2 linked regions of the Struthio camelus genome follow. The protein of the gene in region 2 purifies or fractionates together with the protein of the main gene of each other region. This does not show direct contact. Links are inferred from orthologs where the notes say so. Each region holds a gene or a part of one and is shown on either strand. Other genes may lie near its edges. The genes, in order: COPS6 and RHOBTB1.

The links.
Region 1: the proteins of RHOBTB1 (region 2) and COPS6 purify together in Homo sapiens (affinity purification with mass spectrometry; 4 studies listed by BioGRID and IntAct, counting the BioPlex papers as one, with this or other methods). This does not show direct contact. The link is inferred for Struthio camelus from reciprocal best matches to the Homo sapiens genes RHOBTB1 and COPS6.

Annotation. Positions count from the first base shown.
Region 1 is NC_090978.1:610,059-618,090, forward strand, and holds the start of COPS6 (COP9 signalosome complex subunit 6), read right to left. Parts: upstream 3,029-8,032; 5' UTR 2,978-3,028; coding exon of another isoform or gene 2,854-2,977; 5' UTR 2,835-2,853; intron 1,997-2,834; 5' UTR 1,906-1,996; coding exon 1,782-1,905; intron 1,128-1,781; coding exon 1,002-1,127; intron 1-1,001. Other genes in the region: lysophosphatidic acid receptor 5-like, read left to right, coding at 2,854-2,977, 3,605-3,690, 5,071-6,105; uncharacterized protein, read right to left, coding at 7,428-8,032. UniProt on the Homo sapiens protein: Component of the COP9 signalosome complex (CSN), a complex involved in various cellular and developmental processes.
Region 2 is NC_090948.1:36,261,508-36,268,749, forward strand, and holds the start of RHOBTB1 (rho-related BTB domain-containing protein 1), read right to left. Parts: upstream 3,218-7,242; 5' UTR 2,976-3,217; intron 1,367-2,975; exon of another isoform or gene 688-1,366; intron 1-687.

The sequences.
Region 1 (8,032 bases), on a different chromosome or scaffold from region 2:
TCGAGGGGGGGCACCGGGGGCATCAGGGGGTGCCAGGCATATCAGGGGGTGGCGGGGGGCAGTCTAGAGCCACGGGGGGCAGTTGGGGGGCACAGTCGGCAGTCGGGGGGCACCAGGGGGCTGTCGGGGGGTGCCGGGGGGGCAGTCGGGGGACAGCCAGGGGGCACCGGGGGTATCGGGGGTGGTGGGTGGCAGTCAGGGGGCACCAGGGGGTATCGGGGTGGCGAGGGGCAGCTGGTCGGCAGTCGGGGGGTCTCAGGGGGTGGTGGGGAGCAGTCAGGGGGCACCAGGGGGTATCGGGGGCGGCAGGGGGCAGGCAGGGGATGGCGGGGGGCAGTCGGGAAGCAGTCGGGAAGTATCAGGGAGCGGTGGGGGGGTATTGGGGGTATTGGGAGGCAGTTGGGGGGTATCAGGGAGCAATTGGGGGGTATCGGGGGACAGTTGGGGGTATCAGGGGACAGTTAGGGGGTATCAGGGGCAGCTGGGGGGCAGTCAGGGGACACCAGGAGGTATCAGGGGGTGGCAGGGGGCAGTCGGGGGTATCTGGGGGTATTGGGGGCAGTGGGGGGCAGTCGGAGGGTATTGGGGGACAATTGGGGGGTATCGGGGGCAGTCGGGGGGTATTGGGATTGGCGGGGGCAGTCGGAGGGTATCGGGGGCAGTTGGGGGGTATCGGGGGGCAGTCAGGGGGTATCAGGGGTATTGGGGGGTGGCAGGGACAGTTGGGGGGTATCGGGGGTCAGTCGGGGGTATCGGGGGCAGTCAGGGAGGTATTGGGGTATCGAGGGGGCAGTTGGGGGTATTGGGGGGCAGTCAGAGGGTATCGGGGGGCAGTGGGAGGGTATTGGGGGAAGTCGGGGGTATGGGGGGGCAGTCGGGGGTATCGGGGTCAGTCAGAGGGTATCGGGGAGCAGTGGGAGGGTATTGGGGGCAGTCGGGGGTATGGGGGGGCAGTCGGGGGTATCGGGGGGCAGTGGGGGGGTATCGGGGGGGGGGGTTACCTTGCCCGGGGCGCCCCTCCTGGGAGCGCATGCGGATCCAGTGGTCGGAGATGTTGAGGATGACGAGGGGGTGCAGGGCCACCGAGACGCTGCCCGTCACCCCCGCTGCCATCACCGAGGGGGCCGCTGCGGGGGCACCGCGTCAGGGGGCTGGGGGCGGGGCCGAGGGGGGCTGGGGGCGGGGCCGAGGATGGTGGGGGCGGGGCCGAGGGGGGCTGGGGGCGGGGCCGAGTGGGCTTCTGGCCCCTGGGGATTTTTTTTTGTGTGTGTGTGGGGGGGAAATGCACGACTTGTGGGCGTGGCTATAGGATCTAGGGCGGGGCCGTTGGGGGTGGAGGGGCGGGGCCAGGGCCTGGGGGCGGGGCCAGGGCGATAGGGCCCTCCCAGGTGAGACACACACCCCTCCCTTCCCCCCCCCAAAAAAGGGCAGGGCCAGGGGAATCGGGGCGGGGCCAAGGGGATTGGGGCGGAGCCAAAGGGACTGGGAGGGGGTCAAATGGATTGGGGCGTGGCCAAAGGGGGTTGGGGCGGGGCCAAGGCGGGTTTGGGCATGGCCAGTGGGGGGATTGGGGCGGGGCCAAGGGGGGTTGAGGCGGGGCCAGAGGGGGCAGTGGGCGGGGCCTCAGGGGTGGGACCCGCGCCGGACCCGCAACGCCCGGGGGCGTGTCTAGAGTCGTGGGGGCGGGGCCAAGACCCGGGGCGGGTGCGGGGTGAAGCCGGCGCCGAGGCGGCCCCCGGCGCCAGGCCCGGGAGCCCGGTTGAAGCCCCCGCGGGCGGTACCTGCTGCGTCCACCTCCATGCCGCCGGTCCCGTTGCTCCCGGCCGCGGAGGAAGAGGCGCCGGCCGCCGCCATCTTGGCTCGGCGTGTCCCCGCCCGGCCGCCGTACTCAGCGCCTCTGCGCATGCGCAGAGGGCGTGGGCGTTGGCTGCGGGGGGGCGAAGCGGGCGCGCATGCGCCGCGGAGAAACGCGGGAGTGTCGGCGGGCGCGCATGCGCTGTCGGCGGGAAGGCGGGCGGAGGGAGGGGGCTGGTCACGTGCCCTGCCCCCCCCCCCGCCCCGGTTGTCCTCATGTCCCACATGTCCATGGTGTCCCCGTCCCCAGGTGTCCCCTTCCCCAGGTGTCCCCAGGCTGAACATCTCCATGGTGTCCCCATCCCCAGGGTTTCCCCAGGCCCCCACATCTCCATGGTGTCCCCATCCCCAGGACATCCTCGGCCCCAGGTGTCCCCATCCCCGGGCTGACCCCAGGCCTCCACATCTCCATGATGTCTCCATCCCCAGGTGTCCCCATCCCCGGGGTGTCCCCAAGCCCCACATCTCCACTGCGTCCCCGTCCCCAGGCCCCCACATCTCCATGGTGTCCCCATCCCCAGGTGTCCCCATCCCCAGGACGTCCTTGGGCCCCCAGGTTGCCATGACGTTCTCTTCTCCAGGAGGTCCCCGTCCCTAGGCGTCCCTGTGCCCAGGGTGTCCCCAGGCCCCATGTCACCATGACATCCCCATCCCCAGGATGTCCCCCTCCCCAGGTGTCCCCAGGCCCCATGTCACCATGACATCCTCGTCCCCAGGTGTCCCCATCCCCAGGTTGTCCCCAGGCCCCACATCTCCACGGTGTCCCCATCCCCAAGTGTCCCTGTGCCCAGGACGTCCCCAGGCCCCATGTCCTCCCAAGATGTCCCCGTCCCCAGGGCCACTCCCATCCCCAGGCCCCACGTCCCCCCAAGACATCCCCATCCCCAGGGCCACTCCCATCCCCAGGCCCCGTGTCCCCCCAAGACGTCCCCATCCCCACATGCCCCCCTCCCCGTGCCCGTCCCCGTGCCCGTCCCCACGGCGTCCCCGTTCTCCCGGATGTGGCGCGCCGGCACTTCTCCTTCGGGTGGCAGGAAGCCACCGAGCAGCCGGGAGTTTCAGGGGCAGCTCTGGGCCCCGTTTGGCCCCTCGTCACCACCCGGGGGGGCTCCGCCGGTGCCAGGTGAGTGCTGGGACCGGGGTGGGCAGCCTCCCAGTGCCTCCCAGTCCCACCCAGTCCAGCCTGGTCCCTCCCAGCACCTCCCAGTCCTTCCCAGCGCCCCTCCAGGCCAGCCCCTTGCTGCCCTTCCCGCCCAGTCCAACCTCGTTCCTCCCACCCAGGCCTTTCCCAATGTCTCTCAGTTCAACCCACTGCCTCCCAGTCCAACCTAAATCCTCCCCAGCGCCTCCCAGTTCAACCCAGTGCCTCTCACTCCACCCTAGTTTCTCCCAGACCCTTTCCGGTACCCCCCCCCAGACCAACCCTGAGCCTTGCGGTCCCCTCCCACTGCTCCCAGCCCAACCTAAATCCTCCCCAGTGCCTCCCAGTTCAACCCAGTGCCTCCCACTCCACCCTAGTTTCTCCCAGACCCTTTCCGGTGCCCCCCCCCGGATCTCATGGTCCCCTCTTAATGCCTCCCAGTTCAACCCAGTGCCTCTCACTCCACCCTAGTTCCTCCTAGACCCTTTCCGGTGCCCCCCCAGACCAATCCTGAGCCTTGCGGTCCCCTCCTACTGCCTCCCAGCCCAACCTAAATCCTCCCCAGTGCCTCCCAGTTCAACCCAGTGCTCCCCAGTTTCCACCTACCAGGCTTGCGTCAGGAGCTTGGCCCCAAAAGCACCCCGGGAGCAGCCACTCTGGACCCCACCAGGCACCCGGCGTGGGGAGGGAGCACGGTGAGTCCCCGGGACAAGGGGGACAGGGTGCGGGGGGTCCCCAGGGTGGGGGGTCCCTCCCAGGGGGGTCAGGGCAGGGAGCCAGGAGGCCCCCTGCAGACCTCCCAAACTCCCCGATCACCCCAAACACCCCGGGGACCCCCCCAGCTCCACAGCTGGGAGCCCCTTGGGACCCCAAATACCCTAGAGATCCCCTCAGGGACCCCCAAATATCCCAGGGATCCTCCCAAATACCCTAAGGACCCCCCAAACACCTCTGAGACCCCCTCAGGGCCTCCCCAAATACCTCAGAGCCCCTCCAGATACCCCCAAATGACTCTGAGACCTCTCAGGGACTCCCACATACCCCTGGGATCCCCCTAAATACCCCCAAACACCCCCGAGACCCCCTCAGGAAGCCTCCAAATGCCTCCGAGACCCCCCTCAGGGACCCCCAAATACCTCAGAGCCCCCCCCAAGTACCCCTAAGTGCCTCTGAGACCCCCTCAGGGATCCCCAAATACCCCAGGGTCCCCCCAAACGCCTCTGAGACCCCCTCAGGGACCCCCAAATACCCCAGGGACCCCCCCAAACACCTCCAAACACTTCTGAGACCCCCTCAGGGATCCCCAAATACCCCAGAGACCCCTCCAAACACCTCTGAGACCCCTCAGGGACCCCCAAATATCCCAGAGCCCCCCAGATACCCCCGAGTGCCTCTGAGACCCCCTCAGGGATCCCCAAATACCCCAGAGACCCCCCCAAACACCTCTGAGAACCCTCAGGGACCCCCAAATACCTCAGAGCCCCCCCAAATACCCCCAAACACCCCAAGACCCCCTCAGGGACCCCCAAATACCCCCCAAACACCCCCAAGACCCCCTCAGGGACCCCCAGAGACCACCCCCAAACACCTCCGAGACCCCCTCAGGGATCCCCAAATACCCCAGAGACCCCCCCCAAACACCTCTGAGACCCCTCAAGGACCCCCAAATACCCCAGAGCCCCCCAGATACCCCTAAGTGCCTCTGAGACCCCCTCAGGGATCCCCAAATACCCCAGGGTCCCCCCAAACGCCTCTAAGACCCCCTCAGGGACCCCCAAATACCCCAGAGCCCCCCCAGATACCCCCGAGTGCCTCTGAGACCCCCTCAGGGACCCCCAAATACCTCAGAGCCCCCCCAAATACCCCCAAACACCCCCAGACCCCCTCAGGGACCCCCAAATACCCCCCAAACACCCCCAAGACCCCCTCAGGGACCCCCAGAGACCACCCCCAAACACCTCCGAGACCCCTCCCCAACTCCTACCAACCCCCCTCAACCAGGCTCCCGGGCAGGTCGGACCCCCCCCCCCAAAAAAAACAAACAAACCAACCCCCCCATCCCATCCCATCCCCAGGCCCCCGCCGCCACGGCCATCCTGGAGCCGCCGGGCCCGAGCGGGCCGGCGCCTTGCGCCAACTGCACGGCGGGCGCCAACCCGGCCTTCGCCGCCCTCTACGGCCTCATCTTCGCCCTGGGCCTGGGGCTGAACGGGGCGGCGCTGGCGTTGCTGGGCCGGGGCGGGCGGCCGGCGGCCCCGACGGCCACCTACCTGCGCAACCTGGCCGCCTGCGACCTGCTGCTGGTGGCGTCGCTGCCGGCCCGCGTGGCCCATTACGCCGGCCGGGCGGCTCTGCCGCGAGCCGCGTGCGAGCTGCTGGGTTGGTTGCTGCTGGTCAACATGTACGGCAGCATCTTCCTGCTGACGGGCCTCAACGGCGACCGTTGGGCGGCCGTCTGCTTGCCTTTACACGCCGGCGCGGCCCGTTTCCGGCGCCGGGCGGCTCTGGTGTGCGCGGCCGCTTGGGCGCTCAGCGCTTTGGGTTGCGTGCCGGTCTACGCCGCCGGCCGGCGAGCGGCGGAGGAGGCGACGACGGCGGCGGAGGCGACGCGCTGCTTCGACGAGCGGCCCCGCTACATCACGCAGCCGGCCGTGGCTTGGGCCATGGCGGCGGCCTTCGGCCTGCCGTTGGCCGTCGTGGTGGGTTGCTCGTGGGCCCTGTTGCGGGCCGTGGGGCGCAGCCCGGCCGCCCGCATGGCTTTGCTGGACGGCGCCAAGGTGAGGCGCATGGTGCTCAGCCACGTGGCCATCTTCTTGGCGTGCTTCATGCCTTTCCACGCCGTCCTGCTCTGCTACCAGCTACGCGCCGCCCCAGGGCCGGCCCTCGACCAAGCCTACCGCTGCACCCTGCTCCTCGCCTGCACCAACGCCGTCCTCGACCCTCTCGCCTACTACTTCGCCGCCGAGTCCTTCCCGCGCTCCGTCGCGACGCCCGTCACCTCCCCGCGACCGGCCCGGGCAGCTCAGGCCACCACCGCCGCTGCCACGGTGCTTGCCGGTTCCTCCACCCCGAAGACGCCGGCGACCTGGGGTTTCCGGTGTTGGCGGTGAATAAAAGGGGATGTGTCGCAATGGTTTTTCCCCCCCTGCCCCACCCCACGCCACCACCAACCACCGCTGGGTTTGGCGTGGTTGGGGACAGGAAGGGACGGCGATGGGGGACAGATGGGGACTGGGTTGGGGGACAGGAGGGGACGGCGATGGGGGACAGATGGGGACCAGGATCGGGGACAGGAAGGGACCACGATGGAGGAGAAGAGGGGACCATGATGGGGGAAAGCAGTGGACAGGGATGGGGGACAGATGGGGATCGGCATGGGGGACAGACAGGGACCAGGATGCGGGAGAGGAGGGGACCTGGATGGGGGACAGATGGGGACCTGGATGGGGGACAGACAGGGACCACGATGGAGGAGAAGAGGGGACCACAATGGGGGACAGATGGGGACCGGGATGGGGGGACAGAAGGGGATCGGCATGGGGGACAGATGGGGACAGGGATGGGGGACAGATGGGGACCTGGATGGGGGACAGGAAGGGACCACGATGGAGGAGAAGAGGGTACCCCAAGACAGATGGGGACTGGGATGGGGGACAGGGATGGGGGACAGATGGGGATCGGCATGGGGGACAGACAGGGACCAGGATGGGGGAGAGGAGGGGACGGGGATGGGTTACTGGGATGGAGGAGAAGAGGGGACTGGGATGGGAGACAGATGGGGACCGGGGTGGGGGACAGGAAGGGATGGTGATGGGGTAGAGGAGGGGACAGGGATGGGGGACAGATGGGGACTGGGATGAGGGACAGATGGGGACCGGGATGGGGGACAGGAGGGGACCTCAATGGGGGAAAGCAGGGGACAGGGATGGGGGACAGATAGGGACCACAATGGGGGACAGATGGGGACCGGGATGGGGGACAGACAGGGCCTGGGATGGGGGGCAGGAAGGGACAGGGATGGGGGACAGGAGGGGACCGGGATGGGGGACAGGAGGGGACCACGATAGGGGTCAGCAGGAGACATGGATGGGGGACAGACGGGGATGAAGATGGGGGACTGGGATGGGGGACAGATGGGGGACAGGGATGGCGGGCAGACGAGGACCGGGATGGGAGAGAGGAGGGGACCGGGATTGGGGACAGAGATGGAGGACAGCAGGGGGATGACGAGGGGCAAACGGGGTCTGGGGACGCGAGAGAGACGCGAACTGCGATGGGGGACCAGCAGGGGACGAGCACGGGGGACAGAAGCGGGATGAGGACGGGGGACAGGAGGCCACGCGGCTGGAGGGGACAGCAAGGGACGGAGCAAGAAGGGACCCTCATCCCGGCACCTCCATCACGCTCCGACGCCGGCTGCCTTCTCGGGACTTTATTCCTCCCTGTCCCCCTCCTCTCCCACCACCTCCCAGCGCTCCTCATCCAGCACCCGATAGTTACGGCGGCGATAAACGTCGGCGCCCAGCTCCCAGCTCCGCCGCGTCGCCTCGTAGAGGCCGCGCAGCACCGGCGGCAGCGGGGCGAAACCCCCGAGCCGCGCCAGCTCGGCGCAGTAAGCCCATTGCGCCGACCCCAGGCGGTGCAGGTGCCGCGGGTCGCCTCCGGCTTCGCCGTATCGCTCCAGCTCCTCCTGAGCTTCCCGCCGCAGCGTTTCGCCCGGCGGCAGGTTGCAAGCGCCCGCCAGCACCGCCAGGAAGAAGAGCACCTGGCAATGGAAGAAGGCGAAGGGGCAGATACGGCTGCAAAGACCCACCAGGGCCAACGTCGGGTGACACGGCGGCAGCATGTGCCGGTAGAGCGGCGTCACCGACCGCTCGGTCACCCGCAAGCCCAAAGCTTCGGCCGGCAGGAAGGGGAAGGAGTAAGCGTAACCCGTGCACAGCAGCAACGCGTCGGCCCGGCTGGCCGTGCCGTCGGCGAAGAGCACCTCGGCACCCCGTACGGCCCGTACCGGCGCCGCTTGGATCACTCCGGCCG
Region 2 (7,242 bases):
ATGAATGAAACAGCGGTATTTACCGCACACCGGAATCTCAAGCTGTTTAAATACCTATTTATGTGACACTGTACCATTCATAAACGTTAATTTGTTTCCTCAGTAACAATGCCAGATTAGAAGTCATTTCTAGCTTCTTTCAGAATATCCCTTTTTAAAGGGGGAACTGATTTATCTGATCATAAACTCAGAGCTTTCTATTTTTATTTCATTGCGATCTCATCCATTTCAACCAGCTTTTCTCAGCTTTGTCCTGATCAAAATCCACAGACATGGCTTCCATTGACACATTAAGATCCTTCTCATTCTCAGGCAGATATGCAAAGTCCTTCCACTAGCTCATTCATGATTCTTATTCAGATGTCATTAATTATTCACATTATTGTCCTGGTAAAGGCCACATTCAGATTCTCCTGCTTGCAGAGAGATTTTTAATTGTTACACTGTAAAGTCAACCGCATTGTTTAAAGAGTATAAACAGACAGAAATGTAGTTAAACCTGATTTTCATCATTACTAAAGCATAAGCCTAAATGTTCAACTTCATAGAAAAGGATTCTGCCCCCCACCCCCATCCTACTTCCATTTTCTGGTTTGGAAGATAGTTTGGACTGTAAAAGAAAAGTTTTAATCTTAATTAGTATTGCATTACCTGATTACAACTCCAATTTACAAAGATTTCCCTTACCATGGTAAAAGTGGCCATGTGATGACAATCTATTCTGTGATCTCAGAAATCTTCTATTTCTGTGATGACAATCTGGACAACACAGCAGCTAAACCAGGCATGCAACTTCCTTATCTGAGTCCTGAGGAGCTCGTAGCTGAGAAGACAGCTGGCTTTATGCAACTCTCATCCTGTGCGTCTGCCCTGGAGAGCACCAGTTCTGGTAGTGGCAGCACAGTTCCTTCCCTCTGCCACACGCTCCTCGTCCAGACAGGAAACACGCTGCCACCTGAACTAATGCTTACGCACAGCTAGTCAAGGGCTTCAGAAATACACTGGATTTATAGTATGCCTGTGACAGCTGTTCTGTGCATGTGTACTATGGTGCTGCCTGCAGATCACAGTAAGTTTAAGAAAACTAAAGATAGCTGCAGCAAAGAGTAATTCAATGAGAGATGGATTTATATGGTCTACCTCTCCATGGGGCAGAACTTCCTTTACTTGGGGAGAAGCGCGGGCAGGTGGCTCTTGCAGTGGGGCTTGGCAGGCAATATAATTGCAACTGAAAGAAGGCCCAGAAGGAACACAGACGAGACTATGTGAAACGCTGGTCTCTCTGGATGGCTCCTCAGGATCAGTGCATAACCCAGGATGCGCGACCTGGCCTAGAAGCCTCTTCTGCCATGGAGAAGTTTTTCCTCTAATGCAATGACAGTAGAGAAAAACTCATGGAAAACTCAGCCTGATTTTCTCTTCAAACCTACCCCAATTTTACCTTCGAGTTATTTGATAGCCTGTGTTGGTCCAGTCTATTCTTCTCCCAAAATTCCCCCCTCCCCCTTTTTTGTAAGGATTATTACCAAATTAACAACAACGCAGAATTTTACGCTCCCAGTGTATTTAAGAGCTTCCTTCTACACCAGACTAGCCTGTCATCTCTGCAAATTGGTTTAAGGTTTCTGTAACATTACATATTTTCATTATGTCTGCTCAAAATCTCTTCACCAAGCTTCAAGGGTTTATGTGGAAGAGTGGCTACTTACAAATATGATTGTTCTCTTTTGTTTAATATGGTCTTACTTTAAGTCTTTGTCTTTAAAAGTTCAAATATCGGAAGAAGTAAAACAAAGAAGAGATCTTTACCTCCTTATTACCATAATCTTTCCTATGACACCCCACCGTTGCTGTACGTGGCTTAAAAGACAGTAGAAATGTTATTTCCCATTGACACCTAAGCCAATACTTCCTCTCAACAAATTCTCAAACCCTTAATGTTTCACAACCTGCAGTACATACAAATGCTTTACCTTTTCTGCTTCAGTTTCAAAGAAGGTGTCTTTACCTGATATCTCCCTTACAGATCTAGCATTTTTTCCCTGTTTTGACTACACAGATAAAAGTAACTGATCACGTGTGATTGCCATTAACCTGCTACCTCAGGAATAGCCACAACGATTCAGTTAAATAGCAGCTAAACAAAAACATTATGCGCTGAAGTTTTAACTTCTTATACTCCCAGGGTAGGGAAAAGTTTTCCCCTTCCTTGTTTCTCTTTTCTGATAACTGCAAAAGGGCAGGATTTATCCCACTGCTTCTCCCCCAGAGCTCCTCAGTAACTCTGAGGAAAAGAAGGGGTTCTCTATCTTCACCCTTCTGCCAGTGTTTCTGGAGATACATCCTCCTTCCTAACCGACTCCTCTTGCATCTGGTTCTCTTCATACATTTGTGTTATGTACCAATTGCAAATTTCATTCATGTGATGCAGAGACCCATTAATAATTTAAGATAAAAAAGAAACCCAAGGGCAGGAAAATTCCATTTTTGCTCATGTGATGGATGCTACTTCGCTAGTGCGTCAGCTCCAGTTATCTTCGTGCATGCTACGTTAATTCACTAAATTGCTTTTCAAACAAAGCACGTTCAGAAAGCGCCTGGAGAACGTATATGAGAGGAAACTTTAATTTTTCTGGCGAGCGCGCCAGATCGACATCCAGAAAGAGCAACGTGAGCAGGTTTTGGCTTTGCTCTGCCCGTCAAGAAGAGGGGGCAGCCAGAACCCAGGGCGCGGAGAAGCCCTCCTCACCACGGCAGAGCCTAGCACGAGGTACCTCCAAGCACCCCTCACACCGCGTTAACCGCGGGAGTTAAAAACGCCCGCCAGCGCAGCAGCTGGGCCGGGGGCTGCCGGCACGCCCGGAGGCGGTGTCAGCGTTTTCACCCGGCTCCGGGCCGGGACGCCGGCTCCCGCCGGCCGGACGTGGGGTCCCTCCCGCCCTCAGCCCCCTCAGGGCGCCCCCACCCCACCTCACCTCAGCGCCGAGCGGGACCCGCCGGGGACGCGGGAGAAGCACCAGCCGCCGCCGCCGCCTCTCTGCTCTGCTCGGCTCGGCCCGGCCCAGCCCAGCCCGGCGGGACCCGCCTCCTCGGCGGCGCGGCCCGGGGCGACCCGCCGCAGCCCAGCCAACCGGCCCGCGGAGGGGCAGGCAGGAGGGGGCTGCGCCGGGGCGTCACGTGAGCGCGCGCGGCACGCGGTGCCGTTGCAGCCGTTGGAGCCGTTGGCGGCGCGCGGCGCGCGGCGCGGGGGGGAGGGGCGCGGCGCGGCGCTCTGTGGTGATTCCCGCCTTGCGCAGCCCAGGCGAGGCGCGAGGGCTCCGCGCGGAGCCCTGGTCCCCGCTGTCCCCTCAGGTTCTGCCGCTGGGAAGAACCGTTTCCAAGAACTGAGGTGCTTCCCGGGCGGGAAATCCTGCGTGCTTTGAGGCGGCCCGTCGCGGGGTGAGGGGCGAGCCGGCCGCGGCCAGGGGCGCAGCCCCCCCGCCGGCGCTGGGGCTGCCGTGCCTTCTCACTGCCTGTGCTCAGTTTTTTTGGTTTGTTTTTTGTTCTTTAATCTCTTTAACACGGCTTGTGCGGGTGCTTGGAGGATTGGTGCTCTAAGGAAAGGCAGGCTGCAGGGCAGGGCTGGTGTGGGCTGGCTGCAGACCTGCTGCCGCACGTAGCACTGATGGGTGACCTGGGGTCTGCGGTTAGCAGCTGCCATACAGGCTGCTAATTGACCTGTATATACACTGCAGTCGCTGGTGAGTACGGAGGCCCAAATTTCTGTTACTCAAGGCAGCCAGGTTAAGTCACAGTTATCTTCAAAATTCACTTGCCAGTTTAAAGCAACTGAAACTTCTGGATACCCTCCAAAAGGGAAATTTCCTCTCCTCCTCTTGAATGTGGCTAACAAGGAAACCTGCACTCTCCATAAGCAAACAGAAGAGGAAGTGTTGAATAATTGCAAGTTCAGGTCCTTTCTATTCTTGTCTGCTGAGTAAATTCACTATGTTGTTGACCTCAGTTTCCTCTGCAAAGAATTCCACCACTGTGTTGTGACTGAAAAACAATGCTAAGTCTATTTGACTTCAAAAATGCTTCCCATTTACACTGTCCTCATGGTATCTGGCATCTCTGTGTCAGTCATACGCTAATAGGACTCTTGAGAGGGAACAATAGTGGGAAGTCATAAGCAATCTAGCTCTATACAGTATTTAAGAGAGTTGAAGAGCATATTGTTGAAGTGCTTAATAAAGTTCAGGGAATGGCCCAGTAGCCTGGTATTAAAGTAACCTTATTTGCTTCTTTGGTGTTTTGGACTTGATGTTCAGTCCTGGGCCTTTCTGTGTGTGGGATCAGGAGTTTGGAGGGCTCTGGAGACCATGTACTCAGCCTTTTCCGCAGTTGCTTCACAGTGATTTTTCAGGTTGATCATGGAGTGCTACTCACAGCGCAGCTCTTCTAGGCTGAAAATGTGATATAGGGTCTACAGACAGCAAAGAGCTGGCAGCATTACAAGTAGAGGCAGACTTGCTGTCAGAATGCTCTCCTGTTTGAATGGCAGAGGAGAGGAACTTCTGTTGCACTATGTCAGTCATCCTTCTGTTCGGAAGTAATAAACCTAGCCCCCAAATTATGAAATTCAGAACAGGAATGGGATTCAGTGAATGTGCCTTCTGTTTTGATCCTTTATATTTCATGGGCTCCATCTTTCCTGTGGAGTTGTGAAGCCCAGGAACGTACGTGCCTGCATGCTATACCAACGTGCCTGAGCTGTGCAGCTGGGTAAAGGAGCCTGCGTGGAACTCCCTGCTGCCTCGACTGAACTGCCGTCAGCACATATGTTACTGCTTTAGAGAATTGCCAAGCACGGGTGTAGCCTATGCTTTAACTTTATAAAAGAAATGTGGGAGGATAATCATAGGATTCCAGGAGCTGGGTCTTAAAAAATGAAACTTGGTATTGTGAACCCCTAATTAAGGGAAAGAAAAGTGTTAACAGCTTGGCTGCATTTTAGGATTTTAGATAAATCCTGAAAATGGCCTTTGCTGGATGTGTTATATCAAGGAAAAAGAAAGATTGAGTCATTGTTACTCCTCAGTAATGGAAGGATTATTTTGTTTGGAAAGAGTTTATTCGGAGCTCTGGTAACTCATGTTTAGAGCCCTAGTGAGGAAGCTTCCACAGCGCTTCCACAGCATTTGTGTGCAGAAGGTGTAGTTGTGCAATTTCAATTAGTACAAACAAACCTTGTCTAAAATCCTGTAACTTGTGCTAGAAACGTGTCCCTAACTATCATTAGCAAGGCAATTTGAGCAGACAGCTGAGCTCACGAGGTTATCATCTACATCTCTTCAGAAGATGGCCTCAAACCTTGTATTGGCTAACGTTTCTAGCTCTGCTAAGCGAGCCCCGTGTAAGATAAAAATCAACCCACATAGCAGGTCATATGCTTTGCTTTACATCGGCTGCTTTTTGTGAACACTGAATGACTTACTTCTATTTCATCTATTTCTTTTAGCACTTCAGAATGAATTGAGTGTGTGTGAAAGGTGCTTGATTGACGGTTCTGGAAATTGAACTCCCAAGTTCAATCCCAGTTTTGTTGCAGCACAAGCAAGCTTCTCAGTGCTGCCCTCGAGGAAACACTGCTAGGTTGAGAGTAGTCCCTTCACTTACTTGCTTGTGCCAGCAAAGGTGGTATTTCCTGAGGACTGTGACTGACAATACACTTGAAGCTGGAGAAGAGTCACTAAGATTTAAAACATGGGAACACGTGGCTAGGCCAAATAGGATTTGATGAGCTTTTCAAAAACAGTGCAAATTGCCTTTAGAAACCAACAAAGAAAATATGGCTGCTTGGTTCTGCCCATCAGCTGCTGCATAAACTGTCCGTCTCTACAAAAGACTTTGGATTAGAGTGATCACATAGGAAATTACACAGTGTGAGTAGTCCTTATAGAGAACACTTCATTATAATGATTAATCACTGATTTCTACAAAATTATATTTGCAAGATAGATCAAGATATAATGATAATATAAATAGGAATAGCTATTGTCTTTATAGGCGCACCAACTTTTCAAGGGGTTTAGAAGTAATATAATTTGATGGCTTTCCAATAATCTCATTAAATATCAGGCTGATTGTTGCTTTCTTACAAGGAAAAGCTAAAGATATTTTTTATAAAGCAATATCAGGATGCTCAAAGTTTGCTAGATTTTTTTTTTTCCTAGCAAATAGAGGAAAGCAAAGAGTACGTAAGGAAATTTAGGCCTTTGGAATAGTTATTTGTCTCTCAGTTAATGGAGTATATTCTGTAAGTTATCAGAAACTGTCCAAACGGTTCCAAGCTGTCAAGTTGTTTTTTCACTGCCCTGTAGTTACTATCTAGGATATTTTTGTTTCATGAAAACTATGCTTTGGATGACTATGTAAATTTAATTCAGAAACAGTAACTATTTAGTGACTCATCTGCTTTTTAAAGTATGATTAGCTTATTTCAGCCTTAAACTACTGTTAAACAGTAGCATGGAAAGCTAATGGTTTTTGCATAAGGCTTATTCTGTTTTCACCAAAGTTTCCTCTGTTATATATATTGATTTTGCAAACAGAAATTCATTTCTACTTCTAACATGCAATTTCTTTTGTGTACAAAATTACAGTGTTGAAGCTGTAAGCAGACGCATGTGATATTACCCTCCGAAGTGGACGTGGAGTAGATGAGCAGCAGCTGTGTAAGTTTTAGGCTTCCAGGACTAGATGCCAAAGCTTTTTATTAAATTTACTGTTAAGAATAATTGCTGCTGACAGTATCTCTTGAACTCAGTCACAAGGCACACTGAGACCAGTCGTGATGTCGAGATTATGATTACGTTGCTCACCATTCACAGAAGATACTGTGATGACAAAAATATTTATGGTTGTGAGTCTTTTCATTGCTGCATCATTGTAGATTAACTGCCATTACCTTATTCTGGCTACAGTAGTCCCAGATGACTCATGTCTTCCATTATCAATCTGGGTTCTTAAAGGTTAATAGATGTGGGGAGAGGTTTTTGTTCTGTAGAGAAGTAATGTAAGATCTGTTCTGTAGTGTTTCATGCATTTGTCCTTTTCTTCAGCGTGTACTGTGTGCATAGCATGGAGGTGGACTTCCTGAGCTTTCTGAAACTCCTAATGCCTGTTTCTGAGCACTACATGGGAGTATAGGTCTCAGTGAAATTTAACAGAGCATAGGCATTTGCACTGTGGTGGAATAGG